7 linked regions of the Cricetulus griseus genome follow. The protein of the gene in region 4 interacts with the protein of the main gene of each other region in a pairwise test. Links are inferred from orthologs where the notes say so. Each region holds a gene or a part of one and is shown on either strand. Other genes may lie near its edges.

Region 1 (3,737 bases), on a different chromosome or scaffold from region 4:
TACATGTTACTTTTTATAATGACATGTCTAAGTATATAAAACTATAGTACCTTTAAAAAGCAACAATATATTATTAGAATTACAACATGAGTCAAAAAAAGACACATATTCCAGATAATATCTTATTAGTTAAAAAAACAACTAAAAATTCACAAAATTTTTCATGATTTTTGTAAAAAGATATTGTCTATTTGCATTACTGTAATTAAATACACTGTTTTGTTTTTTGAAGACAAAATTCTTGCTACCTAACCCATTGGTTCCTAGAGTCTCCTGGCTCAGCCTATGCATGCTAGATTCCAGGCATGCACCACTACCTACTATGTGATATTCTATCTTGCTGGGTTTGGAGTTTGTGGGGGATTATTTTTTTTTGGGGGGGGGAGGTTCCCAAAACAGGGTTTCCCTGTGAAGCCTGGCTGTCCTGGAACTTGCTCTGTAGACAAGGCTGGCCTTAAACTCTGATACCTATCTCCTCTGCCTCTGCCTCTGCCTCTGCCTCCTGAGTACTGGGCTAAAGGCATGCGCCAACATACCCAGCTCATTCTGCTAGGTTTTAATAAAGATTTTTATTTACACATGTGTAAGCCTAAAAGACTTTACATGTGCCATCTACATGTAGGTGTACAGAGGCCAGAAGACAGTGTTGGGTCACCTGGAGCCAGAGTCACAGTGGGTGCTGAAACCAAACCTGGGTCTTTCTACAAGAGTAGTAAGGGCTCTTAATCAATGAACTGTCATCCCTGCAGCCACTATCTTGATGTTTTTGTGTTCATGCTTTTAAAACTAAATTCAATCTCTGTGTTTTCAAATCAAACAACTATATTTTTCTGTTTCAGGGAGGAGGGGAAATAGTTTTTCAGTAACTACTGAATTACAATACTCCTTTAAATTTACATCTCTCATCCTTTGTTACCAAAATGATCCTCAAACCATGTCCTCACTATTTCCAAGGAAATGTACTGTTGCAATACTAACTGAAACCAAAAAAGGAACTCATCCCATAATGAATATGAAACTTCAAGGCACCAAATGAACTAACACTAAAGACATAAAAGTGACAGACAAGCAAAGAGACAGCAGAACAATTAAGATCACTGGACAGAAATAACAAATGTATGCAGACTTCCTAATACTTATGGAGTGCTAAGGGAATATTTAAAATCTTTATTAAGAGGAAAAGCCATCTGTAGGAGACTCTAGACTCAATAGCCAGAAACATACTCATGGTGGGTGCATGTGCACACACATACAAGAAAACTCTCTCTAATTCAATGACAAACTGAATTCAAATTGACAAAAGAAAACAAAATAAATGATCACTAATGCTTTACCTGGGAAGACGCTGGGAGGAGATGGAGTAGGAACAGCGATAGGAACGCCCACACTCCCACTTCCACTGTTCTCCCGACTGCTGCTCCGACTACTTGGGTGGCTTCCTCCACTACTCCCACTGCTGCTGAAGAAGTAAGAGCCACCAAAGTGAGTATAGAGAACAGGAGATCAGGATTGCCATGTACTTCTGAAATGGACATTGCCACAAGAAATAAAATTCAAAAAGCTTCCATTTCAAACATGAATTCTTAATAAATAAGGAGAAAAATCTGAGTTCACTGAACTTGTTTTGATACCTAATTATGAGATCTAATAAATTTTTAAAAAACCCTCTGTAAATGTAAGGGCAAATTGTTCATGCTTAATACATTAAAATAATATTTTATATCCTGGTTTAATACCTATCGAAGAAACTTATAGTAAGTTTTACTAGATTATTTTATTTCAGTTTGTAATGGCATGGTGATATACTAACATTTTAATATGGATAGTTTTTCATCTGTAAATTTCCACCAAAAAAATTACTTGCAATTTTCATTCCTGGTTAGTAACATTTTTTAATTAAGTTTTATCTCTGTTGGTAAGTTTCTACTTTAAGATGTCTTTTTCACCTTCCTGACTGCTCAAAGTTGCATCAGAGCATGAGGAGAGAGAAGAAGAATCAGATGAGGTTTGGGAGAGTAGAGTGAGAAAAAGAACTTAGTGCTTGGAAAATGAGAGAGGTTTAGATTTAACTGAAGTTATCTCAACAGATTATGGTACTCTGACCATCATGTTTTGCGCTGAGGTAGAGAAAATACCTGTAAGTTCGATTTCTTTGATTCACAGAAGCTGTCCTCACAGGGCTCTGCTGCGAGGGAGCCATATTACGGGTTGGGCTAGGTACGTAATCATTTGGTACCACTGGAGGACGCACTGGCTCCAGTGTGCGATAGGGGGAGTGCCGCCTACAAAAAGAAGAGCGTATGTATTGTGTGATTAATCAAGTTTCGGCACAGTAAATTCAGAGTTGCCAGTGAAATACAACTTGTAAGCAGAAATAGGAAATGTGGTTTAACCCAGCTATCAATTAGTCTTTCCTACAGTACAACTCTTCCACCATTACAGAGAGTTCTGGTGAATATGTAGTGTAAATTTCAGTGTCCAACCTCATTTACCTGTGCTAATGTAATTTTGTTCATTTATTCACAGAAAACACAAAGTTTCCATTATTTAAGCCAATGTTTTCTAGATCTACTCTTTTCATAGAAGAATTTGAATTATTTTAGATTCATGTCAAAATCTCCCAAATGTACTGAGTGAATGCACTAATTATCTTCTTCTCCTCTCTCTCCCTAACCAAAGATATTTATTAATATTAATACAGATGACAAATCTATGTTTTTGGAGTCACAACCTCCACATGATGATTAATACCAGCCATAACTCATTCCCCTTTTTATACACTAAACACACAGAAATTAAAGACGTTGGTACTTCAAAATACATAACTTCACTTCATTTTCCACTTTTACAACCTTTCTCCTTCAACTTCACCTCAATTTCTTTGCTATTTCCTCCTCAGAGGTCAACATTGATAGGAAATTTTAAAAGACTACCTATGTCCTTCTATCTTAGTTAAACTGTAAAACCCAAACCAGACAATGTTACTAACAAGTTGTTTCCCTTTTTCCAAATTTTCCTTCCAAAGAAAGAAAATGAAAAAACAAAGAAAAGAAACAACAGGCTATAAAGTGCTGCCCGGAGCACTGCCTGGCACTCATTCAAGTCTTGTTCTCAAGGGGCCAAATCCTTCAGGGACAATGACATCTTGCAGTTGAGATTAGGTCTTTAAAAGAATCTGACATCCCAAGATATGAAAATTTGAAAGTTTTCTTCTCTTGCAAGAGAATGCTGCTCATGTGGCTCTTGTATCTCTCAGTATTTCACTCCCAACCAGGTTTCCAGAGTTTCTTTAAGTACTGCTTTCCTGGCCACTCACTTTCACTGACTTTGAACCCGTTGGTGGCCCTAGAACTCTGGAACTCTCTTCTCAAAATCACAGAGATCCACCTGCCTCTCCCTCCCGAGTGCTGGAATTAAAGGGCTGTGCCTCTACCGAACAAATGAGATTATTTTCAAAGGCACTGTTGCCTCTGCTTTCCTTGGGTATTGCTCAATAAACAATTAACAGGCCGAGCGCTGTTTTTGGCACATGCCTTTAACCCCAGCACTGGGAGACAGAAGCAGGCAGATCTCTGTGAGTTCAAGGCCAACCTGGTCTACAAAGCAAGTTCCTGGACAGGCTCCAAAGCTACACAGAGAAACCCTGTCTTGAAAAACTAAAAAGAAAAACAAACAAAAAATTAATAAACAAAACAATTAACAATTCAAAATAAGTAAAAGACACTATATGTGCTATG
Region 2 (3,737 bases), on a different chromosome or scaffold from region 4:
GGATTTCCATTTCTGAACTACGTGTTCCAAACTGCCTTCCACACATACTGTAGTCTTCAATGAAAAATGACCTCAAATTGGGCGCTTAAAAAACAAATGGAAACATCTTAAATCAGTGGACATCACTACCTGTTAATAGTCCATGATTTGTATCAATCCAACCAGTAAGCTTTAGAGCACATTCTGCTTAACCTATCATTTTGAGGTACTCCCTACGTATTCCAAAATAGACTGGAATTCTCATGGTATTAAGTACTACAAGAGTCCAATTAAAAAGTCCCTTTAAAAAATCACCCCCACCTCCCAACCCCATCATCACCCCAGATTAAACAAACAAAAGGGAAAAAGTGGTTAAAAGAGCTCTTGCTGATAACTTCAGCTCTTGATTGTGCCATTTAGATGAGATATTCCACCATCTCTGCGTCAGGTTCTTGACCCAGGATCTGAATGGGTGCTTTTCTTTCCAGAGTACTGCAGTGGAAAACAGGAACATCTAAATGGAAATGAGAGGGTACAGAAGTATTAGAGATAGTTTTTTTAAAAAAACAAAACAAAACAACAACAAAAACCTTCAAAAAGTGCAACCAGGTACATCCCCATCATCTACTTCACTGGGAAAATGGCCACTCATGACCATTTCCATTTTAGTGAATGGGAGAAAACCTTTCCAGAAGTTCTTCTTTTCTCTCCTCTGCCCAATCCCTATTACATCAGGAAACATTCAACTCTATCAAAATGGCAGGCACCAACCAGAAGATACCTGCTACGAAAAATTGGAATTACCTGGCTTGTCTGGGTTGCACATCAGATTTGGTGTGGACAAACGGCGAGGTCCAGAACCGGTACCTGGACTTGCAGGACCCTCAGCCTGAGCCAAAGCTGGAGTTGGAGTTGGAGCTGGAGTAGGAGCTGCTGTCGGAGCTGGAGTTGATGCTTGAGTCGGAGTCGGAGCAGAAGACTGAGCCGTTGCTGGAGCCGGAATCGGAGCGGGAGCTGGAACTGGAGCCGAAGCAGCTGGAGCAACCTGAACAGCAGTAGCAGTGGCAGCAGCAGCAGCAGCAGCTGCAGCAGCAGCAGCAGTAGCAGCAGGAGGAGTGGGAGAAACAGTAGCAGAAGTAAGAGATGAAGCAGCTGGACTCTGGACAGCAGCAGCTGGAGAGACAGCAGCAGCTGGAGAGACAGCAACAGCTGGAGAGACAGCAGCAGCTGGAGAGACCGCAATAGCTGGAGAGACAGCAGCAGCTGGAGAGACAGCAGCAGCAAGAGCAGCAGCATTTGCCGGAGCTGGGGCAGCAGCAGCAACAGGAACTGGAGCAGCAGCTACCATGATAGTGGTGTTGGTGGCAGCAGTGGCAGTGTTGGTGGCAGCAGTTGCAGTGATGGCAGCAGCAGTGGCAGCAGCAGCAGCTGGAACAGCCACCGGGATAGAGATGGGAGTGACAGCTGCGGTTTTGGAGGGTTCAGAGCCACGTTCGGTTTGGGTGCTGCAGTCTCGACTGCCCGTCTTCGAGTGAGCCGAGAGCAGGGGAGTAGATGGAGGCACTGGCGAAGGCGTGGATGGGACAGACTCAGCACGGTAGTCTCCACCCAGAAGAATGCCTGCCAAAGAAGCAAGGGACAAGAGAAAAGTAGGTGATTTCCTATCTAGATACTGATTAACTATTCACCCTTGTCGGAATTCAGGAAGAGAAAATACTTGACATTTTTCTTTGAAAAGTGTTTGGTTTTGCCTCTAGTGTTGGTTTTGAACTTAGAGGATCCCTTCTTCTCTTCATTTTCCAGTTCTTAATACAACATATTAACCCTGTCCTTGGTACCTGATAGATATCTCCCCCTCCCCCAATTGGGGACGATAGCAGATCAACATGTCAGAGTTCTTTTGTGTTCCAGTAATATTAATACCCTACATTACTAGAGAGGTGGAAATAACCCCGGGGTATGGGTACCTGTGGATATCCATGAGTGCTTTTAGTTGTGTAACTACAGAATTAAACATGACAGTGGCTTCCAGAATGTTTACTCTAACTAAAGGATACTGCAAGAGGCAGAGGACCAAGAAAGGCATTAAAGACAAAAGGGTTGAAATATATATTTGGTTGCTTCCTCGGTTTCAAAAATGTGTCTCAATATCTATGGGCCTCTGAGGCTTTAATTAGAGGGGGTGAAATGGGCAGGAATTAAAGAAAAAGCACATTCTGTTCCCATATCAGAACACTGCCACCTCACCTCATTAGCTTAAAGAGAACTTTGGGTCCTCTTTCTGTAGGGGAGGAAGGAAGGAACACAGTGAGGCTGTAATTTTGAATTTTGCCTGAGATGAAGTCCATTTGATTTTTGAACAAAGTTCCCATGTGGCAAAAGCCAAATCTGAGAATTTTGCACATAAAATTCAAGCTATCTTCCTTCCCATCCCCAAAGAACTCAGGATTCTCATTTTTGGCCTCAGTTAATATTCTTACCATGAGACTTCAGGGCTCCTGGCCATTCAACTAGTTCCATCAGGGAAAAAAGTAACCCCAAATTCTCTCTAGAACCAGAATCGTTGTCTCTTTCCCTTGCTGCGTGTGACACAGGCAGGGCACCCTCTCTCTAAGTCTGTCACTGTGCGCGTCCCTTATTTGTTCTTATTTTCATTACCTAGGCTCCCCTTCCAGCTTTTGTCATCTCGCTTCTCCTCCATGATGGGGGTACCAGTCAGGGTAGATGAGTGGGCGAGCAGGCCTGATCCAGCATTGGAAATGGACATCAGAGACTTCGCTGGTCTCATGGATGACAGCTGCTCTGTCTTACTTGGCTCCTTTCTGGAGCGCTGCTGCAGCACTTTGATCATGGCGTCCTTCTCAATAATCTGGGCATGGAGGCTCTTAATCCTAAAAAGCCCAAAAGAAAGCACACACAGAAAGTTACCTCTGCATTCTGATCTCACTGCCTAAATGGATTTGCATTCCCTTTATCTTTTCAATTAGGTCTTGGTCCAGTTTATTCTGAGTTGGAGGGAAGAAGGATCCATATGTTAGAGCTTTAAAGAAAAAAAAATATTGCATCCCCTGGACTGCCAAGTAGATGCAAGAGAACGTCTAAGAGCTTCTGCTGACACATCAGAAAATCCAAGTCAAATATTGGCAAACAGAAAGGCTATATAGGAAAGATGTCACGCTTTGTTGAAGGAGCTCTTCCATAGTAACAGGAAGTTCAGTGATAAGATGGAGTCTTCTACTAAGACATGACCTCCAGGTAACAAGTAAATGACACTGAGTCTAAAGAAGACATTGGGTGGGCTGGAGAGATGGCTCAGAGGTTAAGAGCACTGACTGCTCCTCCAGAGGTCCTGAGTTCAATTCTCAGCAACCACATGGTGGCTCACAAACATCCATTATGGGATCTGGTATCCTCTTCTGGTGTGCAGATATACATGGAAGCAGAATGTTGTATACATAATAAATAAATAAAGTCTTTAAAAAAAAGAAGAAGACATTGGATGCTGTATTTCCCAGTGTGAACAGATGTCGTGAAGTCAGCTGCATTACAGAATTGAGCTGCGGTGCTATGAAGAATACCTCAGAGTAGGAACGCTAAAAACTCAGATCTAGCAGAATACAAAATCCAGGGGAAAGCAACCCTACTGGGAACTGCTTTGTTAGTAAGAACGTTCTAGAAAAGTCATCACATCAAATCCTAGGTAACCGACTGGCAGGGGTGAAAATGGAGGGATCAGGGAGCAGGCTACAAAATCAAGG
Region 3 (3,737 bases), on a different chromosome or scaffold from region 4:
CCAAGGCCCAGTTTCATACAAAGCAGAAGGGTCATAGCAGGCCCTCTCGTTTCCCTTAATGGCCCTGTCTAGCTCTCATGGAGGCTGTGGATATTCTGTCCAGAAAAATGTCTGTTCACCCAAAATGGCCCTCAGATATCCATCCTTGGCTATGAATGCCTGCAGGGAGATTCCTGCAGAAGCAGCTAAGATACTAAAACTTCAAGTTGAACCATAAGAGGATGGCAGGTGGCCCAGTCGGGATGTGCTTCCTAGGTTGGAAGCATGTCCTGTGACTATTCACAATGTGGTCCAGACTGCTGAATGACCAAGACAGGATAGAACACAGACCGTGGGCCCAAGTTCTGAGGAGAGACACTAACTGGAGCACCCATGTGTGGGTGTCTCAGCCCTCTTGAGAGTTTCTGGCAAGTGTTGGGTTAGGGTTTGGGGCTCTATGTGCAGAAGTGTTCCTTGAGGGCCAAGATTCCTTGGAAGGGTACCAAACTCATGGCCCGCATACTTCTGCCCTCAGGAAGTGGCCCTTGTGATGAGCTGCGCCTGACCTTCCCAGTTCGAGATGGGGTGGTCCTGGAGCCCTTCCGACTGCAGCACAACCTGGCTGTGAGCAACCATGTCTTCCAGCTCCGAGACTCTGTCTACAAGACCCTGATGCTGAGGTGAGTCCTGCTACCATCCTGCCCCTGGGTCCTGCCTGCACCATGTGGGCTCCTGTTATCCTCTTCCCTGCCAGGCCTGACCTGGAGCTGCAGTTCAAATGCTACCATCATGAGGACCGGCAGATGAACACCAACTGGCCAGCATCCGTGCAGGTCAGCGTCAACGCCACACCCCTCAGCATCGAGCGTGGAGACAATAAGACCTCACACAAGCCCCTCTACCTGAAGCACGTGTGCCAGCCAGGTCGAAACACCATCCAGATCACCGTTACCGCCTGCTGCTGCGTGGGTAGCCTGTGGGGCTGTGGGTAGTGTCTGCCAGGGTTCAGGCTGGGGCCAGCAGAGGCACACCCAGACCAGCAGCTCTCCTGTGGGTTTGGCAGCTTGTGGGGGAGGGTCTTTATCCTTGAAGAACAAGGTGCTGCTTCTGTTTCTATTTTAATTTGTCCTGCCTTTTCAGAAAAGAGAGGCAGTTAAATCCACTCTGTTTTCCAGTTAGATTCCATTGGACAGATTTAATGCTCATGTTAATTATGTCAGAGAGCAAGCACAGGAAGCTCATGGGAGATGTGCCACCTGCACTGGCCTGGGCCTCACGAGGTTCTGGTGGGTAGGATCCCAACTAGACCTTGAGCTGCAGGCTATCAGGAGCCACCCTGACATGATGGAGGGGCCTGGAGATAGGAAGGCTCAGATATCAAGTCATGTCAGGAGAGTGGATGTGATAAGCAGGGGACTGTGCCAGGGACTTGAGGTGATTGTGGTTTGACAGAGGAGAAAACTAGACAGTGGTTGGAGCAAAGTGCCCTGCAGAGCATGAGGTAGTGCAGTGTGGCTGAAGCTCATAGTCCCTGCCTGCCTGCCTGTGTGTCAGCACTCAGGAGGACCTAGCTGCTAGGAAGGTGGCTGGCCTGGCTTCCTTCCATGCTAACCCCAGCCCTCCCTGCCTGGTACCCCTTGAATTAACTTCTAACCCTATGTTACATTCTCCAGCCCTCCCCACTCTCCATATAACATCCCTCACTCTGTTGCAGTCCCACCTCTTCGTGCTGCAACTGGTGCACCGTCCATCTGTCCGCTCTGTGCTGCAGGGCCTCCTCAAGAAGCGCCTCTTGCCTGCTGAGCACTGCATCACCAAGAGTGAGTGGTCCCTACTCCTCAGCCATCTGGGTTGTCCCAGGCTGAACCCCACCTTGTGGCACAGAGGCCATTTCCTCTCAGACAGGTGGCTCTGGCCAAGGGGCATTGGTTACCTCCAGGCAACTCTTAAGAGACATTGATTGAGCAATGACTGGGTCCCTGGTTGGTGCACCAGTTCACAGCCTCAGAATGTTGGAGACCTTTACTCAAGTCCTTTCCCCTGTCAATGTCAGTAAAGCGGAACTTCAGTAGCGGCACCATCCCTGGCACCCCTGGGCCCAATGGAGAGGATGGGGTGGAGCAGACGGCTATCAAGGTGTCCCTGAAGTGCCCCATCACCTTCCGCAGGATCCAGCTCCCAGCCCGTGGTCACGACTGTCGCCACATACAGGTTTGTGGTCCCTGTAGACCTTTGTTGCCCTTAAAATGCTTTGAGTTTATGGAGCACCCAGAAGACTGACTCAGTATTGAGTGGAATCTAAACTAGAAACTGAGAAAACTTCTTAGTAGCATTAAAAAGAAAACACATGATCCACAAGAAGGGTTCTACTTCCAGCATTTATGCAACTAAAACATATACAGTAATGTCCATAGCTGTAACCAGTAATCACTTTAGATTGCTGGTAAAACATGTTTACCAGCAACTTAGAGAAATGTTTTGTGCCTGGTATCATAATACACACCTGTAATTCCAGAGCCCCAGGGGCTGAGGCCAAGTCTCCGATACATAGTGAGAATCTGTCTGACATTTTTTTCCCCTTGAGATAGGGTCTCATGTAGCCCAGGCAGGCCTCAGACTCACTATGTAGCTGAGAATGACCCTGAATTCCTGATCTTCCTGTCTCCACTTGCCAAGCTCCCAGGCAGACACCACTGCACTCAAGTATTGGAAAAAGGCATGTTTGGTGCTGACCCTTCAGCCTTACCCTCTTTGGCAGATGGAATCTGAGCACCTCAGCTCCTCAGACCAAAAAGGCAGACCCTCCACAGGGGCATGGCCTCCTTGCTTCCTTCCCTGAGATTATTAGTCTTGCTCCTTTGAAACAGCCATAATTTTTCCTATAAAGTATGACTGTTTGTGACATGTAGCCCTGACTGTCCTGGAAAACTCTTTTATGTAGATCAGGCTGGCCTCAAACAGAGATCTACCTGCCTTTGTCTCCCAAATGCTGGGACTAAAGGCATGCACCACCACACCCACTACAGTTTTCCCTATATTTTGCTGGTTACTGTATTCATGGGGTTCCATTTTTAAAAGGCATAAGGATATGGGTGCAGCCTTCTTCCTGCCTACCTTTAGAATTGCAGTCTACAGAAATAGCCAGTGTTAGCCAAGTACCTGCATGCTCTTTTGTCCTGAAAGCAACCTCTTTTTTTTTGGAGGTGGTGCTGGGGGTTGAACTTAGAGTTTCATGCATGCTAGACAGGCACTCTGCCACTGAACAACTTTTAACAACTGTCGTAGCTGGGCGGTGATGGAGCACACCTTTAATCCCAGCACTCAGGAGGCAGAGGCAGGCTGATCTCTGTGAGTTCCAGGCCAGTCTGGTCTACAAAAGATGCTGCCGTAGAAACCTGATACCTTAAAAATATATACCCAAACAAGGCAAACTTTCCAGAAGACATTCTGAACAGCCCTCTCCACTGACTTATGGTGAGGAATGACCTGTCTCTCTATCTCTCTGCAGTGCTTTGACCTGGAGTCATATTTACAGCTCAACTGTGAGCGGGGGACCTGGAGGTGCCCCGTGTGCAAGTGAGTCAGTCTCGTGTATGATGAGGGGAGAACTGCCGATTCCTTAGAGGGTGGAATTTGAAGTAGCATCGGAAGTGTTCCCTAGCACAAACCAGAGTAGCCCATCTCAGGGCAGAAACCTCCTACTAGGTGACTTTGCAAGCATCTCCTTACGCTGGATTACCCTAATGGTTTATTCAGGG
Region 4 (4,428 bases):
AACTGAGAGATCCTATTGCCTCTGCCTCCCAAGTGCTAGGATTAAAGGTGTGTGCTGCTATTACTGGCATAAAGCAACATTTGTAAAGTGTTATGCTTTGCCTGCATGTATACATGAATGTGCACCATGTGCAGACCTGGTGAACTGAAAAGGTCCTCTGCAAGAGCAGTCCAGGCTCTTTTTTGGTTTTCGAGACAGGGTTTCTCTGTGGCTTTGGAGGCTGACTTGGAACAGCTCTTGTAGACCAGGCTGGTCTCAAACTCAGAGATCCGCCTGCCTGCCTCTGCCTCCTGAGTGCTGGGATTAAAGGCGTGCGCCACCAACGCCCGGCTCAGTCTGTGCTCTTAATCACTGAGCCATCTCTGTAGCCCTCCGCAGACCTTTTTCCTTCTCTCCTTTTTCTTGGGGGGGGGAGGGTTGTTGCTTTTGTTTCATTTGAGACAGGGTTTCTGTGTATAGCCCTGGCTGTCCTGGAACTCATTTCATAGACCAGGCTGGCCTCTGCCTCCTGAGTGCTGGGAATGCACCACCACATCAGTTTCCTCCACAGACTATCAATTGACTTAAGCCTATTCCTTTTCTTCATCCTAGTGATAATGCCATCGCCCAGCCCAGGAACCTAGGAAGGAGTCAGGCAGAGAAGGAATAAGTTGAAGTAGGTTCTAAAGAAAACTTGGAAAGTGGGTAAAATGATTAGCCTTGGGGCTGTAGAGATGGCTCAGAGGATAAGAGCATTGCCTGCTCTTCCAGAGGTCCTGAGTTCAATTCCCAGCAACCACATGGTGGCTCACAACCATCTGCAATGAGATCTGGTGCCCTCTCTAACCTGCAGGTCTACATGTAGGCAGAACACTGTATACATAATAAATAAATCTTTAAAAAGAAGAAAGAAAGAAATGATTAGCCTTGCAAAACCCAAAAAGGACTGGCGTCGCTTTGGAGGAAACAGGTGGGAAGAGAACCAAAAAGCCAAATTTAGGCTTTGGGCACTTGGCTTCTTATCACCAAGGCAACTGAATTGCTATGGCAACGGCAAAATACAGCAAAAGTACCGAATACCTCCCTACCAGCGAGCCGCTTCCGCGTGGAGGCTGGCCGACCTCCAAGAACGGCTCAATAAGGCGGGATTGGTTGCCGCAGGAGCCAATCAATAAGCTCTACTCTGCGGGCTAAGCCCACCAAGAAGGTTGCAGAGACCTTTTGACGCTTAAAGGAATCCTGAGCGTTCAATGGGCGACGCTTCCAGGTGGGCCAATCAGCGGCGGTGTCGGGACGGGGGGGCGGAGAGTGTGCAGGGGCGGTCCAGGAAGCCGCGAGTGAGCCCAATAAAATGCTAGCGCTCTAGCGGCGCCGTGGGGCCGTCCAACGGGCGTCTGAGCCGGGCGAGCCAATCGACAGTGGCGCTGGGCCGGCGCGGGGTCACAGCTGCGGAGGCGGAGCGGGGCGGAGCGGAGGCGGGGCGGGCGCTGCGGCAGGAGGGAAGATGGCGGACGAGGAGAAGCTGCCGCCGGGCTGGGAGAAGCGCATGAGTCGTAGCTCAGGTACGTCTTGGGGGTCGGCCAGGGACCGGGCCGGGCCGGGCCGGGCCCTCGCGAGATTGCAGAAGGCGGGCCCGAGCTCACGAGGACAGGCGCCCTGCCTTAGGCGTGAAGGTCTGGGCTCCGCGGCGTAACGGGCCCGGAGAGCCAGAGACCGAGGCAAGAGGTGGGGCGGGCACGGGCACGCCGGCCCGTCGCTCACCACCGGGCCGGACGTCCTCAGGACACTAGGCTGCACCGCGGGGCTCCTTTGGGAGGAGGAGACCCGACCCGGTGCCTCTAGAGGGCGTGGGCCGCCCTGATTTGGGTTCTGGGGCAGCATCTGTGACACGTGCCGGCTCATCTCCAGCACGGGATCCTGCGACAGCGCTGGCTTAAAGGAGCTCAAGTTCGTTCACAAGTCTGTACGTCCCCCACCCTCCCTAGATCCCTTCATCTCCGTCCTGCCCCCCCCTCCTCTCTCCCTCCCTCTTTCCTTGGCTCATCCTCTCCCTTTCCCGGTCTCCCCTCTCTCTCTCCCGTTTCTCTGTCGTGCCCGTCTTTCAAGGGATGGTTTGCTCTCATTTTTCTAGTGAGGGAACTGAAGCCAGGACACGCAAAGAACTCGCCAAATGATGCAGTTCAGGGACTGGGAATGCAGTGAGTTCCTACCGCCAGAGTCCCCTTGCCAGTGTCAGTGGCAACGCCCTGAGGAGCGGATAGGCATCTCCGGTAGAACCAGGGTCCTGCTGCCTACAGAGCTCACTTATTCTTATTGAGCACCAGGGTGCTGGACACTGTATACATTAGCTCTCTCTGAATTAACGCGGCTAGGTTTAATGTGTCTTTCACCCTTTTGTTTGGGAGGGGGAGGTGAAAGGGTGTTAGACTGGATCTCACGTGGACAGGTTGCTAGATCCTCCTGCTTTAGCCCTTCAAATGTTGGGATTATAAGCATGCACCACTTTGCCCAATGTATTTATTGAGACAGAATCTTTATTAGTAATATTAGTAGTAGTATATTTTGTGTGTATGCTTGTGGAGATCAGACAATAACTTTTGCAGGAGGTTTTTTTTTCTTTCTTTCACCATGAGAGTACCTGAGATCAAACTCACATCCTCAGACGTGGCTGCAAACACATTTACCCACAGCTATTTTCTTTCTTTTTTCTTTTTAAATTTGAGAGGGGGGGGGAGAAGACTAGTCTTGAACTTGCTTTCTTGAACCTCTGGTCCCCACCCTCACCTTTCTGAGTGCTGGGATTACTATCACACACTAAGATAAAAGTCTTGCTGTGTAACCAAAGCTGGCTTCTAACTCATGGTTCTTCTGCTTCAGCCTCTCAAGCACTGAGACTACACTCATGTGCCACCATGCCTAGTTCTGATGTCCTTATTCTCTTGCCCCAGTTTTTCAGATGAGAAAGCTGAGGTTCAGGGAGATGGCCTATTGTATTTAGCCCTAGAGTCCTTGCTCCTATCCAGGCTGCTCCATTCCTGGCCTAAGCATAAACATACTTCTAGGTGGGTGTGGTAGCACGTAGATAAATTTCCAGTACCTAAGAGGCAGAAGCAGGAGGTTCTCCAGTTCATAGTTATCCTGAGCTACATAGACTTTTGTTTTGTTTTTGTTTTTTGAGACAGGGTTTCTCTGTGGCTTTGGAGGCTGTCCTGGAACTGACTCTTGTAGACCAGGCTGGTTTTGAACTCACAGAGATCCACCTGCCTCTGCCTCCCGAGTGCTGGGAAAGACCTGAGCTGCCACCACCCAGCCATCCGGCCCTTCTTGATGCTGAGTCACCTATGTAACCCAGAAAGACTCTAAGCCCTTGGAGTGACCCAGAATCTACTGGGTCCTTCTTTCAAGCTCCTGCCATGTCCCTCACTGCCCCTCCTCTTTCCTCCTTCACTATTTTTTTCCTGTTTTTTTTTTTTTAATTTTTTAAAATTTAAATTAGAAACAAGATTGTTTTATATGTCAATCCCTGGTCCCTCTCCCTCCCCTCCTCCCCTGCCCCCTTTTCCTGTTTTTTGTTTGTTTGTTTGTTTTTTGAGACAGGGTTTCTCTGTTTAGCCCTGGCTGTCCTGAACTTACTCTATAGACCAGGCCAGTCTTGAACTCAAAGGTCCCCTTGCCTCTGCAGCCCAAGTGCTTGGATTAAAGGTGTGTGTCAACACTGCTTGGCTAGCCTCGAATTTGTGATCCTCCTGCCTCCACCTCCTTCAGCAAATCCTACATGTGTATACCACCACAACCAGGTCTCCTTCACGTTTTTTTGAGACAGTCTTGCAAACTTACCCAGACTGGCTTCAAACAGCAGACACCTATCCTCTTGCCTCAGCCTCCCTAGTTCTAGACTGTGCCCCATCAAGCCAGGCTTTTCCCTTAAGCTTTTGAGTTACCTTCTTTATGCTCCTCACTGTCACCTAGATGTCCCTTAGATGACATCAACCCCCCCAGTAATGCTGCTTTCTTGCTCTTCAATTTAGGCCACCAGGGTAAGGATTAAGAATAAAGTTTTGGGCCTGGCAGTGGTGGCGTGCGACCTTAATCCCAGCACTCCGGAGGCAAAGGCAGGTGGATCTCTGAGTTTGAGGCCAGCCTGGTCTACAGAGCGAGTTCCGGGGCAGCCAGAGCTACACAGAGAAACCCTGTCTTGAACCCCCCCTCCTTTGAGGTATCTGCCTCTGTCTGTGCACAAGATATAGCTGCTGCTGTGAGCAGAGGTGGGAGGTGAAGCCTGGTTTGTTTGCAGTGGAGCGATGGATAGAAACCGCCATACTTACCTTTTTGGTGAATGTCTGATACTGGAACCTGAACTAGAACCTCACAAATGCCAGGCAAGCACTGTTCTATCAGTAAGCTAGATCCCAGCCCCATGGTATTTTTGTTTGGTTTGGTTTAGTTTTT
Region 5 (4,515 bases), on a different chromosome or scaffold from region 4:
CTGGGCAGTGGTGGTACATGTCTTTAGTCCCAGCAGGCAGGGGGATCTCTGAGTTTGAGGCCAGCCTAGACTACAGAGCCTGGACTACAGAGCGAGTTCTAGGACAGGCTCCAAGACACAGAGAAACCCTGTCTCAAAAAACCTAAATAAATAATGTACCTAGTCAAGGATAATGGAGGGAGAGGAAGGAAAGATGCCACGCCAGGTGGTATAGCGGGTTGGCCAGAGCCAGGAGAGAACCCAGTGTATGGAAAGCTGGCATTTACATTGGTTCCCGAGTTCTCTAGCAGGCTCATGGGCTAGTGCCTTTCTGACCCTGTAGAACTGGAATGCTGGCACAGGAGAAGGTGGGGTAAAAGTCTGGGCCCCTTGGAGGACAGGAAGGCACAGCATAATGAATGATGGTCTTTCCCTATGATAGAGGATATATAGCAAAGTTTTTAATTTTGTTCTTAATCAAAGAAAAATACATACCACCATGATTACCCACACAGACTATGGGAACCTCCTGGGCTCACAATCCCATACTCTTGAACAAATTACTGAGTCTGGACTTATTTCTAAAAGAGATAATGCTCAAGTCACAGTGCTGTTTTAAACATGCATGTCACACATTTAGCACACAAGTTAAATAGGATCTGTTAAGAAGTAACAGTCACACACACACACACACACACACACACACACACACACACACACACACTAGGAATGATGCCACCACAATGGAACCTCCACCCAGTCTCCCTGGGTTCCTTGTTGAAGATTAGAGAGTGACCAGAGTTTGGTGGTTTCCAGTACAGTGCCTCCTGCGACTTTGCTGAACCTGAAGGTGATCCCCAGGAAACATCAAACTGTTTTCTGTACAAGGTCAGAAGATGCTTAGATGTGAATGTTTGATGAATGACTGCAGGGGCAAAGGGACAAGCCCCAAACTGAATTCTGAATGATGTGTGGGTACCTGGCAGGGAAGAGGTGGAGTGAGAAACTGGCTGTGGACAGGGATTTCTCAAGGGAAAGGGGATGCCCCGTAGAGACCAACAAGGGTGAAGAGTGGAAATAAAGGCAAAAGTCCTACATGTTCAAAGAAACAAGTGAGGGGGCTGGAGAGATGGCTCAGAGGTTAAGAGCACTGGCTGCTCTTCCAGAGGTCCCGAGTTCAATTCCCAGCAACTACATGGTGGCTCACAACCATCTGTAATGAGATCTGGTGACCTCTTCTGGCCTGTAAGCAAACATGCAGGCAGAACACTGCATACACAATAAATGAATAAATCTTAAAAAAGAAAGAAGGGAAAGGGAAAGACAAGGAAAGGAAAAACAACCAGCAAAACCCAACTCTCACCTGGAGCCTCCCTAGGAAGGGCATGAGGTGTGAATGTGGGCATTGCATTAGGCTCCAGGTTCTCCATTTCATTGACTTGGATATGGATCAAACTGTCACCTCTGCCTTCATTTTTTGTTTTCTATTTCTTATACCCATGACCTCCAGAGTTCCAACTGTTCCATTCTGGGGCTACCATGCATCACTTTCCCTAACAGTAATACTGGTCTCCGTTTTCTCACGGGACTGGGGCTCTAAGTCTGTGGAAGTTAAGAGCAAATGGCACAGGGTGAGCTGTGGCGTGGAACACACTGAGGCTATGGGCTGCTTATGGGCTGTATCCTGGATCATCTGTGCCCCACTCCCAAAAAGTGGTGTGTGTGTGGGGGAGACTATCCTCATCTCCAACCACAGACTCACTGTGCTAGGTAAGCCTTGCTGCTGCTTTTAATTTTCTGAGACAGTCTCATGTAGCCCAGGATAGATTAAATAATCAATCATATTAGCTGGCTGGCCTCAAACTCAACAGTCTCCCTGTGTGTGTCACAACACCTGGCTTGCCCTGTGGGCTTTAATTGTAGCACTAGATTGGAGAATACAGTTTCTAACCTATACTGTGCCATGAACAGATCATGAGACACCAAAATGTAGCCCTAAAAACATAGTGGCTCACACCAATAACCCCAGCACAGCAGGGGCTAGGGCAGGAGACCCTGGGCTAGAGACCCTGTCCAGAAAAAAAAAAAAAAAGGAACCTTAAGGGACCACCTAACTCAAATCCAATTTCTCACAGAGGAACCTGGAGTCCAAAAAGATAAAATAACCTGCTCAATCATACAGATACTTGGTGGTTTCCTCTTCTTTCAGAGGCACAAAGAATAAATCAGTAGTGATTTTCATGATTCACTGTCCCTCCGCAGACAGTCCACAAAGTGCTTCAAGGTTTTAAGAGGCACCCAGAAAAGTAAGGCTGGCATTCATTTTTCTGGAAGCCTGATTATGCAAACCCCTTAGATGCCCCATTATTTGACTACAAGGGCAGGCTTGGAGTTGGTTTTGCCACCATCTGCAGATGCCACCAAGGCTCGCCCCGTGGCTGAAGGACTCTCTCCCATGTTTCCTTGAAGACTGAAGCCAGGAACTGCTGAGAGTCAAGGGAATGCTGTCACACTGCCAGGGCCCAGGGGCAATGGTCAAATTCCTGGGGTTAAGCAAGGCAATTTCGGCTCAGATAAAGCTAGGGTGGGCAGGGCACGGGGACCTGAGGTGGTAGGGCCAGTGAGAGGGAAGCAAACCGAATGACTTCACTGGGCTTCCTAGCCCAAGGAGGCTTCACTTTCCAGAGCCCTTCTGGGCCTCTTATCTCGAGTTCCTTCCGCTTACACCTACCTGCCATTTTCCACCCTAATCTCTTGAGTTTCACAGACGGTTTCCAGCCACCTCGACTTGACTCTCTGGGACCGCCCTCCACCCATCTGCCAATTGTGGTTCCCGGGTTCCTGGCGCCACAGTCTCCCCCCACGCCTGGGTGCCACTGTTTTGTCCCTGCTGTGGCCAGCAGGAGCCTAGTTCAAATAAAATGGATCCAGCCCTGGGGCTCCGCGGCTCCGGCACCACCAGGGTGCTCGGGCCCAAGCAGCGCGTAGTCCCGGCCACCGTTGTTGTCCCAGAACTCGCGGCCGGTCACGCGGTAGCGCAGGGCGAAGAGCAGGGCGCCGCCGACCGGAGGCGCCGGCAGGCGGAAGGAGAAGCGGTCAGCCCGCGGCGGGGCCGGGGCAGGGCCGGCGTAGGCGGCGGGCGACTCCCGCAGGCTGCGCCAGCCGTCCGCGCTCCAGCGCACGCTCACGCGCTTCTCGTAGGCCAGGTCCAGCACGCGCGCGCTCCCGGCCACGCCCAGCGGGCCCGCGTCGGCGCGCTCCAGGCAGATGCGCTGCGCCTGCAGGCGGGCGGCGAAGCCGGGCTCCAGGGCGGGCTCCAGGGCCACGCGCGCCTCCTGAGGAGAGAGGGCGGGGAGGCGGGTCAGAGGAGGGCTTGGAGCGCGGAGGCCGAGGTCCCGGGGACGGGGGCGGGGCGCCTACCTGGAGGCCGCGGGCGCGCGGCGGGCACGGCGCGAAGTGGCGCAGGGCGTCCCTCTGCAGTTGCACCTGCACGTGGCGGGGCACCCGGGGCGGCTCCCCCGGGCGGAAGCGGCGGACCACGACCAGCTCTAGCCCCAGCGCGTCAGCGAAACGCACTCTCTTGCGAGTGTCAGGGCTGCGGCTGCGGGCTGCCCGCGCCCCGCCGCCACCTGCGGGCGCAGAGCGGGCCCTGCGCCCCCGACCCGGAACGTGAGCCCGCGAGCGGGCGCCGGGCCGGGTCCCGCCCTCCCCCGGCTCCTCCTCCGACTCCTCCTCGAGGCTGGGCCGCTGGCTGCGGTAGTAGGCACGTTCGGTCAGCGCTGCTATAAAGCTCAGGTTGCGAGGGATGTCGGTGCGCGGAGGCCGCTCGCGGGACATGGCACCCCTGCGCCCCAGCGGGGCCGGCGCACAGTGCCCGCCCGGCGCGTCCTCACTCGGCCACCCGCTCCGCGTCCGCGCATAGGGCGGAAGGCTGCTTCGGCAGCTGCTAGCCCTGGACTCGCCTTCTTGCTGTCACCTCGCGTTCTTGGCCTGGCGGGTTTCCTTGACCACCTTTCCCTGCCTTTGGCGGTCAACCCCACTGTCTTCTAAGACTGTCGGTCCTGCCGGCTTCCCGCTGTCTGCTCTGAGCGTGCGCTCAACGGCGCTCTCCCTTCGGTTCTGCGGGCCTCGCTGACCCGGCCCCCGCCCACAGCCCTCTGACAGGTGGCTCGGCATCTATCTTCCCTGCTGCACCAGGGGGCGGGACTGACTCCACCCTCGGGGTCCCAAATGAGTAACTCCAGTATGAGAAGGGTTAAAGCGGGGAGGAAAGAGTAATCCTTCATTTTCTTGCATGGAAAGTTCAAAATGCCGAGAGGCTAATTCTCTTCCCCAGAGCTCAGTGTTTTCTTAAACCCAGGCTACAGGTTTGGGATAGAGGTGAAGATGGGCGTAGTGAAAAGAAAGGCCGCGAATCCTAGGTTAAGTCTTCCGAGTGGAAAACGCCAAAGGACGAGCGGTGGACACAAGACTGGCTATTTTCCAGTTTCATTTTTGAAAAACAAGCTAGTGACAATTTTACAGTGGTATGTAAAA
Region 6 (3,737 bases), on a different chromosome or scaffold from region 4:
GGCATTGCTGCTAGTCCCAGCATAGCACCGTCTTCCCAAGGTCAGAGAAAAGAGAGCTGGGAACAACCCATCAGCTCAAAGATCCAGGTAGACCCAGAGCCACAACACAGCTGATCCAGGCTACCCTGGTAGGGTGGTTTCTACCCAAGCACTCTGTAGCTGGAGTAGCCAGTGGGGTGGGTCAGCAAGAGGAAGACATCCACGCAGTGTCTGGATGAGCCTCCCAAGGACCTAGAGCCCTAGGCCCACTTCTTAAGCCACTAAGGGAAGAGGAAGCATAGTGGAAACCCCAAAATAGACTAAGTCTCACTCACAGTGGCCCTTGGGAGTACTGTGAGGCTAACTATGGCCCCCTTGTGGTAGATAGTCCCAAGCAATCCTGAGGCAAGACTGTTCATTACAAATATGGAGAGACTAAGGCACGGAAGGATGAAGACTTGTTCTTGGCCCCAGTTCCCTTGCTGGGGGGCATAGCCGATCAACCATGTCACCCACATCCAGAGGCCGCTGGTCTCCTAGGGTGTGATCAGCCCCAGTTCCCTGAAATGCAATACCCTGTCTAGTCAGGAAACAGTGTGCACGATGACAGATCGAGGATGTGGGCAGCCCGGGTGGCTAAAGACCTGGAAGGTGGGCATGACAGGCTGAAATATAGTAGGAACTGTGGAGGATAGGAAGACCAAAGGCTGGCCAATGCAATGGGTGGGAGCTGGCATTCTGGGCTTCCTGGGCATTCTGGACACAGGGCTTCCTAAAGTTAGATTTGAACCAGGGTCTGGCTGGTCCCTGGAGAAAGCAGTGCCAACGAGCCACTGAAGCAGAAAGCAATGGGCTGAACTATGACCCTGCAGGTCATGTTCCAGGAAACCTGGAACCCCCTAGCCTATCCCCCAGTGTACTCTGCCCGGGGGTGGGGGTGGGGATGGGGGTGGGGGGCGACTGTGGGGTTACAGCCTTGCAGCAGGCCCCAGCTGCCAGTCATGAGCCAGCCAGGCCTACCTCTAGCAGGGAGGAGACTTCAATATGCAGCCAATCCTTGTCCAATGAGAGCCTCTCCTGGCCTTCCCTGTGAGCAGCTCCAGCTCCAGTTGTGACCCCATGACCCTCCTCAGCTCAACAGGATGTTGTGTGTGCACCAGCATGGCCAACAGGAGGCCCAAGGCACAGGGCCAGACTAGGCCATGGAAGGCCCTTACCTGCACTCATCAATGCTGCAGCCTGTTTATGTGAGCCCAGGGCTGGGGGTTGGAGACCAGATGACTGAGTCTCAGCCCTGCCCCTCAAATAAGCCCTGGGTAATGAAGGGTATCAGGTATCTCTCTGGACTTGTATCAGGTATCAAGGTTCCAGGCTTTTCTTTTCTTTTTATGTGCATTAGTGTTTTGCCTGCATGTATGTCTGTGTAATGATACCAGATCCCCTGGGACTGGAGCTACAGGCAGTTGTGAGCTGCCATGTGGGTGCTGGGAATTGAACCCTGGTCCTCTGGAAGAACAGCCAATTCCCTTAACCACTGAGCCATCTCTCCTGCCACCAAGCTTGTTATTTTCTAATGAACGGGAGACAAGACTATTTCAAGGTAGCTGTGAAGACTTAGTTCAAAGGAGCTAGTAGGAAGATGGGGGTTTGGTGCCTGCCTGCTGCATGAACTGGCTGAGGTACTGAAAGCTGTGCTGTCTTGTCTCAGGCCCTTCTCAGCATGATGGGCAGACAATGGGGCCCAGAAAGTCTACAGCCATCACCATGGGCAGGAGATGCCTGAAGCCTGGAGCCAAGGGCAGCATCCACAGTGGTCCCCGAGGTCAAGGATGGGGCCTGGACAGAGTGCTTCTGAGGAGCTGGGGCAGTGAAGTATGAAGAGGAGGGAGTTCGCTGGCAGTCAGAGTCCTCTGAACTCAGATGCCCACAGTGGACTGAGGGGGAGGGAGACGGAAATCGATAGCTGGTACGAACACCCACTAAGGACAGTGCAGAGAGAGGAATGAGCCTTGCAGCCTGGCTGCCCAAGACACGAATGCAGGGGCACAAGTGGCTCTGCTGCCCTGGGGCCGAAGCTTCAGGGGAGCATGGCCTCTCGAGTTGTCTCTGTCCGTCCCCTTTGGTCTGAGGAACCTTAAAGGCAGCCAGAGCTCAGAATGCTCTCTTCATCCTAGACCTGTGATCCCAGATAGACCCCTCAAGATCAAGGCTAGGTGCTGTGTGGCCTTGCCCACGCGAGGAAGGAACAAGGGTAGAGGCTGTGCCTGCGCAGTCCAAAGTTTTCTGAAAGGATGACTTAGAACGGGAGGGTTGAGCTTCGGGGCTTCTGTGGCCAGGTAACCCAGGGTTGTCCAGAACCAGTGTCCCATGCTTTAGCCACATGTTGTTTAGGAGCTATCCCCTAAGTCCCAGTTCAGGGGAGACCAGGCCATCTTGACATTCAACCCAGGAAGGGTCCTGTCTTGCCAGGACCCAGTAGCTCTGGTTTGGGGCAGTGTATGTGAGAAGACTGGCCCAGCGGAACATAGAACTGTGGCGTATCCCCTGGGGCAGGATGGATAAACGTGTCCTGCTGTAGCCCCTGGATTACTTCAACTTGCCTCCACACTCCCTCAAGGGACTGGCTACTCTTTGGCTATGGGCCCAAGTGACCCTCACTAAAGCCAGCCTGTCAGTACTTCAAAATCCCATCCCCTACCCCAGCTGGTCTAGCTTCTTACCATGTCCACAGCTACCTTCATGGCCTCCTGCAGCCCAAAGAGCTTCCCGGCCACCAGGTACACCCCGCTGGTCCACACAGCACAGGCCTCATGTACCCAGTGTTCCTGGGTGTCCCCACCAGGCTCTGCAGGGGCCTCTTTGCTGCATTCATGTTTACGGCTCTTGTCAGCTGGGGCCACCTCCTCACCCCCGTCCCCCTGACCATCACAGCAATAGCAACTCTGCAGCCGCCGCGACAGGCCCCGGGCACTGGTGCGCAGGGAGCCCTGCTTGGCGGGGTCAGCTGGGCCATCAGGCCTGGACAGCCTCCCCAGGGTTGTGGTGGTGGTGATGGTGGTGATGGTGCTGGCTGCACATTCCAGGCCTTTCAATGTTCTCTCAAGAGGCAGAGAGGCCTCCTCAAAGGTGCCCTCCAGCCGCACCTTCTCCTTGAGTTTTGGTTTCTTTTTGGGGAGGCAGTGTTCAGGGTAGTAGGGGCCACAGAGGTCCCCAAGGTCCTTGAAGTTGGCCGGGTTTTGGCAGAGGCAGCAGACAAGGCAAGAGGTACTTAGGGCCTTGGATACCACAGGCCCCAGATGCATGGTGGAGGAGAGGGGCAGGGAGGGCCTGGGCTGCAGCACAGGGCCTCCAGGGAACGCGGTCAGAGAGGCCCCAGCTGGTTCTAAGGAGGAGGAGGAGGCAGCAGAGGAGGATGGCTTCCAGTGAGGCTTGGGCTCATCCCCTGGGGAGTTGACAACAGTGCAAATGGTGGTGTATGCGTCTCGCTTCTCCACCCGCACAAAGGGCGAGAAGGCTGGGGTGCGGCTGTCTGCCCTCAGCCGTTTACAAGAGGAAATGTATTTGAGTCGGATTTCAGGCTCTGCAGGATCCAGGGGCAGTACCTGCTGCTGCCGTCTCCGGGTGGCACGTCCCTTACAGGGTGAAGCATGGGTGGTCTTAGCCCGGCCACGGCTGAGGCGCTTCCGCTTTGAATAGCTGCTATAGCTGGCTTGACCTGGCTGCTTCTGTGCCCTTGTCTGGGGCTGGCAGGGCCGGCC
Region 7 (4,252 bases), on a different chromosome or scaffold from region 4:
GGGGATTAAAGGCATGCACCAACACAGCCCGGCAAGGTCTACCTTCTTCCTTGCTCTAAGATCTGCCATACAGGTCTTTGGCAGGTTGGGAAAAAGTAACCCCGAAGGACAAGCCAAGGACAATCTGGAAAAGAGGGAATTGGAAGCCACAGACAGCTAAATCTAGAGGCGATGCTGACCAGAAGTGAGGGCACCAGAGAGACATCCTAGAGGGGTTTCTTAACCTTGAAGCACACCTTAACTAGACCCTCTATTGAGGTAGGGGGCTCCCAAGTGGAGGGGCCCAGGGACAGAAAGACCCTGAAGAGGATAGGATCCCTACCCCTCCACGTCAACTATGCACGCTCAGGTAGCAGGGGCTTTAAACTAAGGTTCCAGGTCACTGTCCTTTGACAAGGGCAGTAGAAGGGACTTGAGGCATACTCAGGGAGAGTGTCTTGATTTGCTCTCAGGGATGCAGGAACCCTGCCGTGGCAGTCTCCTCTCCGCCCGCACACATAACAGCTGGCCCATGACCTCAAGGTATAACAAGCCTTTCCAGTAACTAGCCTCTCTGGGGTGAGGAAGCCATGGCCACCAGCTCTAGCCACTCTGGACCAGGCCTAAATCTTTTCCAATGAGAGACCTACCAGTCTAGTCTTCAGCCCTTAGAACCTGCTGGAAGGGAAGTTATTTACTACTCAGGAATAGTAAAAACAAAAAGCACAAACACACGAGTCACTGGCAGAGGACCCTACCAAACCACAGGGTGGGAATACAACCAACAGAGACACCCCATATACACCCATGGCCTGCTTTTCCTGCTGTAGGCTGCTTACCTGGATCCTTCCTGGGTGGGAGGATGTGGAGGCTGCTTCCTGGTGTCCAAGATGTCCCTCAGGGGCCTGGGCTGGAAGGAGGGGGCTTGGGGATACTGAGAAAGACAAGGAGACGGGAAGGAGCATCAAGCTGTGGTGACTGCATTGGCCTTGGCTTGCCTCTGCCATGTGGCATGGTGCGAGGTCAGTCTTGTCTTGTTGCTTCATAGGAATCCACCTTTGTAATCTCTCCAGGGTCCCTCTCCCAGCTGGGGACATGCAGACTTATTTCAGGAGTCCCAGCCCCCGACACAACCCCTCCTAGGATACCACATCCCCCACCCCACACCCACACACAGAGATTTGAAATTCTGATGTTGTCACCCCTCACCTACCCGTCTCCTGTCCATCGGCGCTGGCTTCCTCCTTCACAACCAAGTGGATCTGGGTAGATCTGTCTAGGCTGGAACCCTGTGGTACTTCCTCCGAAGGGCCTGCCTCGGAGGACTCCGTTGCTACTGAGACGCTGCGGCTCCCGGAAGATTCCTTTGTCCGCTGGACTGTAAGCAGCGTCTTTGGTTTCAGGATGTGGGCTGTGATCTGAAGAGAAGCCTGTCACGGGGGGCTCTACCTTCAGTCTGTCCTCCTGAGCAGCTAATGCCATTTACACTCACCCAGCCCAGCAGCTGCCCAGGATCAAGCTGCAGCCCCTCAACCAGGGCTGCAGCCTCCTCAGGGCTTCCTGGTCGCTGCCCTCGCACCCAGGCCTGGATCTCAGGGGGCAACACGCCAAGGAACTGCTCCAAAACCAGCAACTCTATCATCTGCTCTTTGGAGCATGACTCAGGTTGCAGCCATTGGTGACACAAGTCGCGAAGGCAGGACAGGGCCTCTCGGGGCCCCTCTACCTCCTCATAGCAGAAACCCCGGAATCTGAGTCGCGCAGCCTCAGGCTCCTCAATGGTGGTCTCGGAGTCCCCGAGGGAGAGGTGTGGGGGACCTAGAGGAGCTGGCATTCTTGTTTTGAAGGGTCTTTTTGGAGCTGTCAGGAGGGACCTACAGGAAAGGAGGAACCAGAGTGTCATCTAAGGCCAAAAGCACACACCAGACCCCTCCTAGAAGCCAGGAAAGAGAACCCCAAGGCCAGGAGCGCTTCGAGGAAGGAAACGGGAGGTGCAGGTCCCAACCTGGAGGGTGCATGGATGATAAATGCCTGGGTGGAAGGTGTCCAAGGGCCTTCTAGGAAACTTCCATGGCTGGCCCAAACCTTTGGGACTACCAACAGAGGACTACCGTGGCTCCCCCAGCCGACAAAGGATCAGGGGGGCACAGGTAGGACCATCCTTCAGGGCGACCTGGAGCCCTGGAGGCTTCAGTCAGAAAGCAGATCGTGTTGGTCTATCTGAAGAGTTGGCTCTGGGGTCTGGGTACATCACCCGGGACAGTGCTGAAAGCCTGGGCCAACTCCCAGGGGCCTATATGAGCTTGGTGACACTGCTCACCGACAAAACCGTGGGTGCCTCACACTACGCCTAGGAAACGCCCAAGCAGAAGCCAAAGCAGACAGCCGTGCATCACGTGGACATGTAAACTGGAACCTGTGTCCCAGTCCTTAAGAGGTTCTGGGTTGAAACCGGCTCTCCTGGGGCACCTGTAGAGTTGGGGGTGGGGTGGGTGTCAGTTTCTGACACAGCAAAGGAGAGGGAGGGTCTTTCAGGAGGAAGGGGACCCCCGGAGTTCTGGGTTCGAAGGCTGGGGGCAGTGGGGCGCTCCTCGAGCTCGGGGGGGGGGGGAGCCACGAGAAGCTGGGCCCGCCCAGTCGAGCAGCTCGCTCACCTCTGACGCCTCCTGGCGCCCCAGGAGCTCGGGGCACTTCCGGGAAGGGAGGCTACACCGCTCGCCCCACCGCCACTCACTACCGGCCTGGCCAATCCTGCACCGGCCCCACAGGCACGGCCCCCTCCGCGCGGACTACATCTCCCGTGAGCCTCAGCAAGGGGGAGCGCGCGTTTCTCGGGCCCCTCGCGCGCCAGCGGCTTCGTTCCGTTCCTCTCCTTTGGAGCCCGCGGTGTCGCAGAGTTCCGGGGGTGGTGGTGGTGGACGGGGCTCCCTCTCCTGACTTGGCGACCCGTTCTTCCTTGGCACCCCAGCCGAAGGACTCACCCACTGCGGACCCGGGCTGCGGGACCGTAGCCTCCTTGCGCATGTGTGCAGCGCGCCTGGCTCCTATTGGCTGGTGAGGCGTTCTGCCCAATTAGAGCCGGGCGCTCAGCTACGAGAAGGGAGCATCGCTCCGTGTGTCTCCTAGGTAACAGCGAGCGCACCTCTGCGGTTGCCAAAGCAACGCTGTAAGCGTGGCCTTGCGGCCGGCCGAGAAGACCTAGGTGCGAGTTCCAGAGGATCCCGGTGGGAGGCAGCGTTGGGCGAGCACACCCAGTATGGCCTTTGTTATAGTCCGTTAAGTAAATAGGCCCATGGGTGGGCGAGCAGGCGTTCAGAGGAGGTGACCATGTGGTCACCCCCTCTTTAGATAGCGGTACTACTGCAAATGGAGATGGAGGGTTCTGTCTGAGATTATGAGACACACTCAACTTTTAATTTGGAGGCTGCAGTTAGACAAGGTGGCCCTTACTCATTTTTTTTTCCCTCTCCAAAGTCTTTTGGGAAAAAGGCTTTTTAAAAATAAAGTTAATGGGGTGAGGTGAGGGGCTGGAGAGATGGCTCAGAGGTTAACAACATTAGCTGCTCTTCCAGAGGACCAGAGTTCAATTCCCAGCACCCACATGGCAGCTCACAACTGTCTGTAACTCCAGTTCTGGGGATCTGATGCCTTCACACCAACGCACATTTAAAAACAAAGTTAAATTGTTAAAAAAATAAAGTTAATGGCTTTTATTTGTTTGTTTGGGGGGGGTAGGGTCTCAAGTCCCCAGGTGGCCTGGAGCTCACCGAGAGATCCTGCAGCCTCTGCCTCCTGATTGCTGAGATTAAAGGTCTGAACCACCACACACAGCAAGTAAGGGCTATTAAATTTATGTGCACATGAGGTTAATTTTGTTTCCACATACCAAGAGTCTGAACCATGATAGAATCATTCAGTCCTGAAGCGGATCTGTCTATTCTGTTTTGTTTTGTTTGTTTGTTTGTTTTTTTTTCTGATTCCTGAGAACCCCCTCCTCGGCTGCCAGCAGCTAGCAGTGAGCAGCAGTTCTCCACATCTGAAACTCTTGAGCAGTTGTGCGGGTAGAGTTTGTCAACTGGGTTTACCAGCTGAACTATCTTGGGAGATGAGGTCTTTCATAGATTCTGTGGACAAAGCTCTCATACCCACCCAGTGGGGAGAGGCTGGGCTTTAAGGGACTTCCCAGGCAGCTGTCCTCTTGGAAGCAGCTGTCCCTGGAAGCATCTCTGTTCTAGGGCTCCCGTCCAAGGTTAGCTGGCTCCCAAGCCTTCTC

The links.
Region 1: the proteins of Pin1 (region 4) and Abi2 interact in binary tests that used the Homo sapiens proteins (3 or more experiments, as listed by UniProt). The link is inferred for Cricetulus griseus from reciprocal best matches to the Homo sapiens genes PIN1 and ABI2.
Region 2: the proteins of Pin1 (region 4) and Amot interact in binary tests that used the Homo sapiens proteins (3 or more experiments, as listed by UniProt). The two-hybrid records come from large-scale screens. The link is inferred for Cricetulus griseus from reciprocal best matches to the Homo sapiens genes PIN1 and AMOT.
Region 3: the proteins of Pin1 (region 4) and Zmiz2 interact in binary tests that used the Homo sapiens proteins (3 or more experiments, as listed by UniProt). The two-hybrid records come from large-scale screens. The link is inferred for Cricetulus griseus from reciprocal best matches to the Homo sapiens genes PIN1 and ZMIZ2.
Region 5: the proteins of Pin1 (region 4) and Homez interact in binary tests that used the Homo sapiens proteins (3 or more experiments, as listed by UniProt). The two-hybrid records come from large-scale screens. The link is inferred for Cricetulus griseus from reciprocal best matches to the Homo sapiens genes PIN1 and HOMEZ.
Region 6: the proteins of Pin1 (region 4) and Rai1 interact in binary tests that used the Homo sapiens proteins (3 or more experiments, as listed by UniProt). The two-hybrid records come from large-scale screens. The link is inferred for Cricetulus griseus from reciprocal best matches to the Homo sapiens genes PIN1 and RAI1.
Region 7: the proteins of Pin1 (region 4) and Znf446 interact in binary tests that used the Homo sapiens proteins (3 or more experiments, as listed by UniProt). The two-hybrid records come from large-scale screens. The link is inferred for Cricetulus griseus from reciprocal best matches to the Homo sapiens genes PIN1 and ZNF446.

What each region holds. Positions count from the first base shown.
Region 1 is NC_048595.1:414,686,294-414,690,030, reverse strand, and holds part of Abi2 (abl interactor 2), read right to left. Parts: intron 2,283-3,737; coding exon 2,136-2,282; intron 1,460-2,135; coding exon 1,335-1,459; intron 1-1,334. UniProt on the Homo sapiens protein: Regulator of actin cytoskeleton dynamics underlying cell motility and adhesion. Functions as a component of the WAVE complex, which activates actin nucleating machinery Arp2/3 to drive lamellipodia formation.
Region 2 is NC_048604.1:35,485,544-35,489,280, reverse strand, and holds part of Amot (angiomotin), read right to left. Parts: intron 2,871-3,737; coding exon 2,638-2,870; intron 1,600-2,637; coding exon 784-1,599; intron 494-783; coding exon 396-493; 3' UTR 1-395.
Region 3 is NW_023276807.1:98,474,810-98,478,546, reverse strand, and holds part of Zmiz2 (zinc finger MIZ domain-containing protein 2), read left to right. Parts: intron 1-514; coding exon 515-659; intron 660-733; coding exon 734-944; intron 945-1,693; coding exon 1,694-1,799; intron 1,800-2,032; coding exon 2,033-2,190; intron 2,191-3,487; coding exon 3,488-3,555; intron 3,556-3,737. UniProt on the Homo sapiens protein: Increases ligand-dependent transcriptional activity of AR and other nuclear hormone receptors.
Region 4 is NC_048597.1:133,534,107-133,538,534, forward strand, and holds the start of Pin1 (peptidyl-prolyl cis-trans isomerase NIMA-interacting 1), read left to right. Parts: upstream 1-1,404; 5' UTR 1,405-1,483; coding exon 1,484-1,541; intron 1,542-4,428. UniProt on the Homo sapiens protein: Peptidyl-prolyl cis/trans isomerase (PPIase) that binds to and isomerizes specific phosphorylated Ser/Thr-Pro (pSer/Thr-Pro) motifs.
Region 5 is NW_023276807.1:210,071,518-210,076,032, forward strand, and holds the start of Homez (homeobox and leucine zipper protein Homez), read right to left. Parts: upstream 2,892-4,515; 5' UTR 2,718-2,891; coding exon 2,711-2,717; exon of another isoform or gene 414-2,710; intron 1-413. Other genes in the region: protein phosphatase 1 regulatory subunit 3E, read right to left, coding at 2,892-3,314, 3,400-3,816. UniProt on the Homo sapiens protein: May function as a transcriptional regulator.
Region 6 is NC_048600.1:74,322,959-74,326,695, reverse strand, and holds part of Rai1 (retinoic acid-induced protein 1), read right to left. Parts: coding exon 2,700-3,737; intron 1-2,699. UniProt on the Homo sapiens protein: Transcriptional regulator of the circadian clock components: CLOCK, BMAL1, BMAL2, PER1/3, CRY1/2, NR1D1/2 and RORA/C. Positively regulates the transcriptional activity of CLOCK a core component of the circadian clock.
Region 7 is NC_048602.1:25,556,339-25,560,590, reverse strand, and holds the start of Znf446 (zinc finger protein 446), read right to left. Parts: upstream 2,952-4,252; 5' UTR 2,634-2,951; intron 2,449-2,633; exon of another isoform or gene 2,300-2,448; intron 2,293-2,299; exon of another isoform or gene 1,985-2,292; intron 1,854-1,984; 5' UTR 1,814-1,853; coding exon 1,472-1,813; intron 1,398-1,471; coding exon 1,193-1,397; intron 914-1,192; coding exon 819-913; intron 1-818. UniProt on the Homo sapiens protein: May be involved in transcriptional regulation.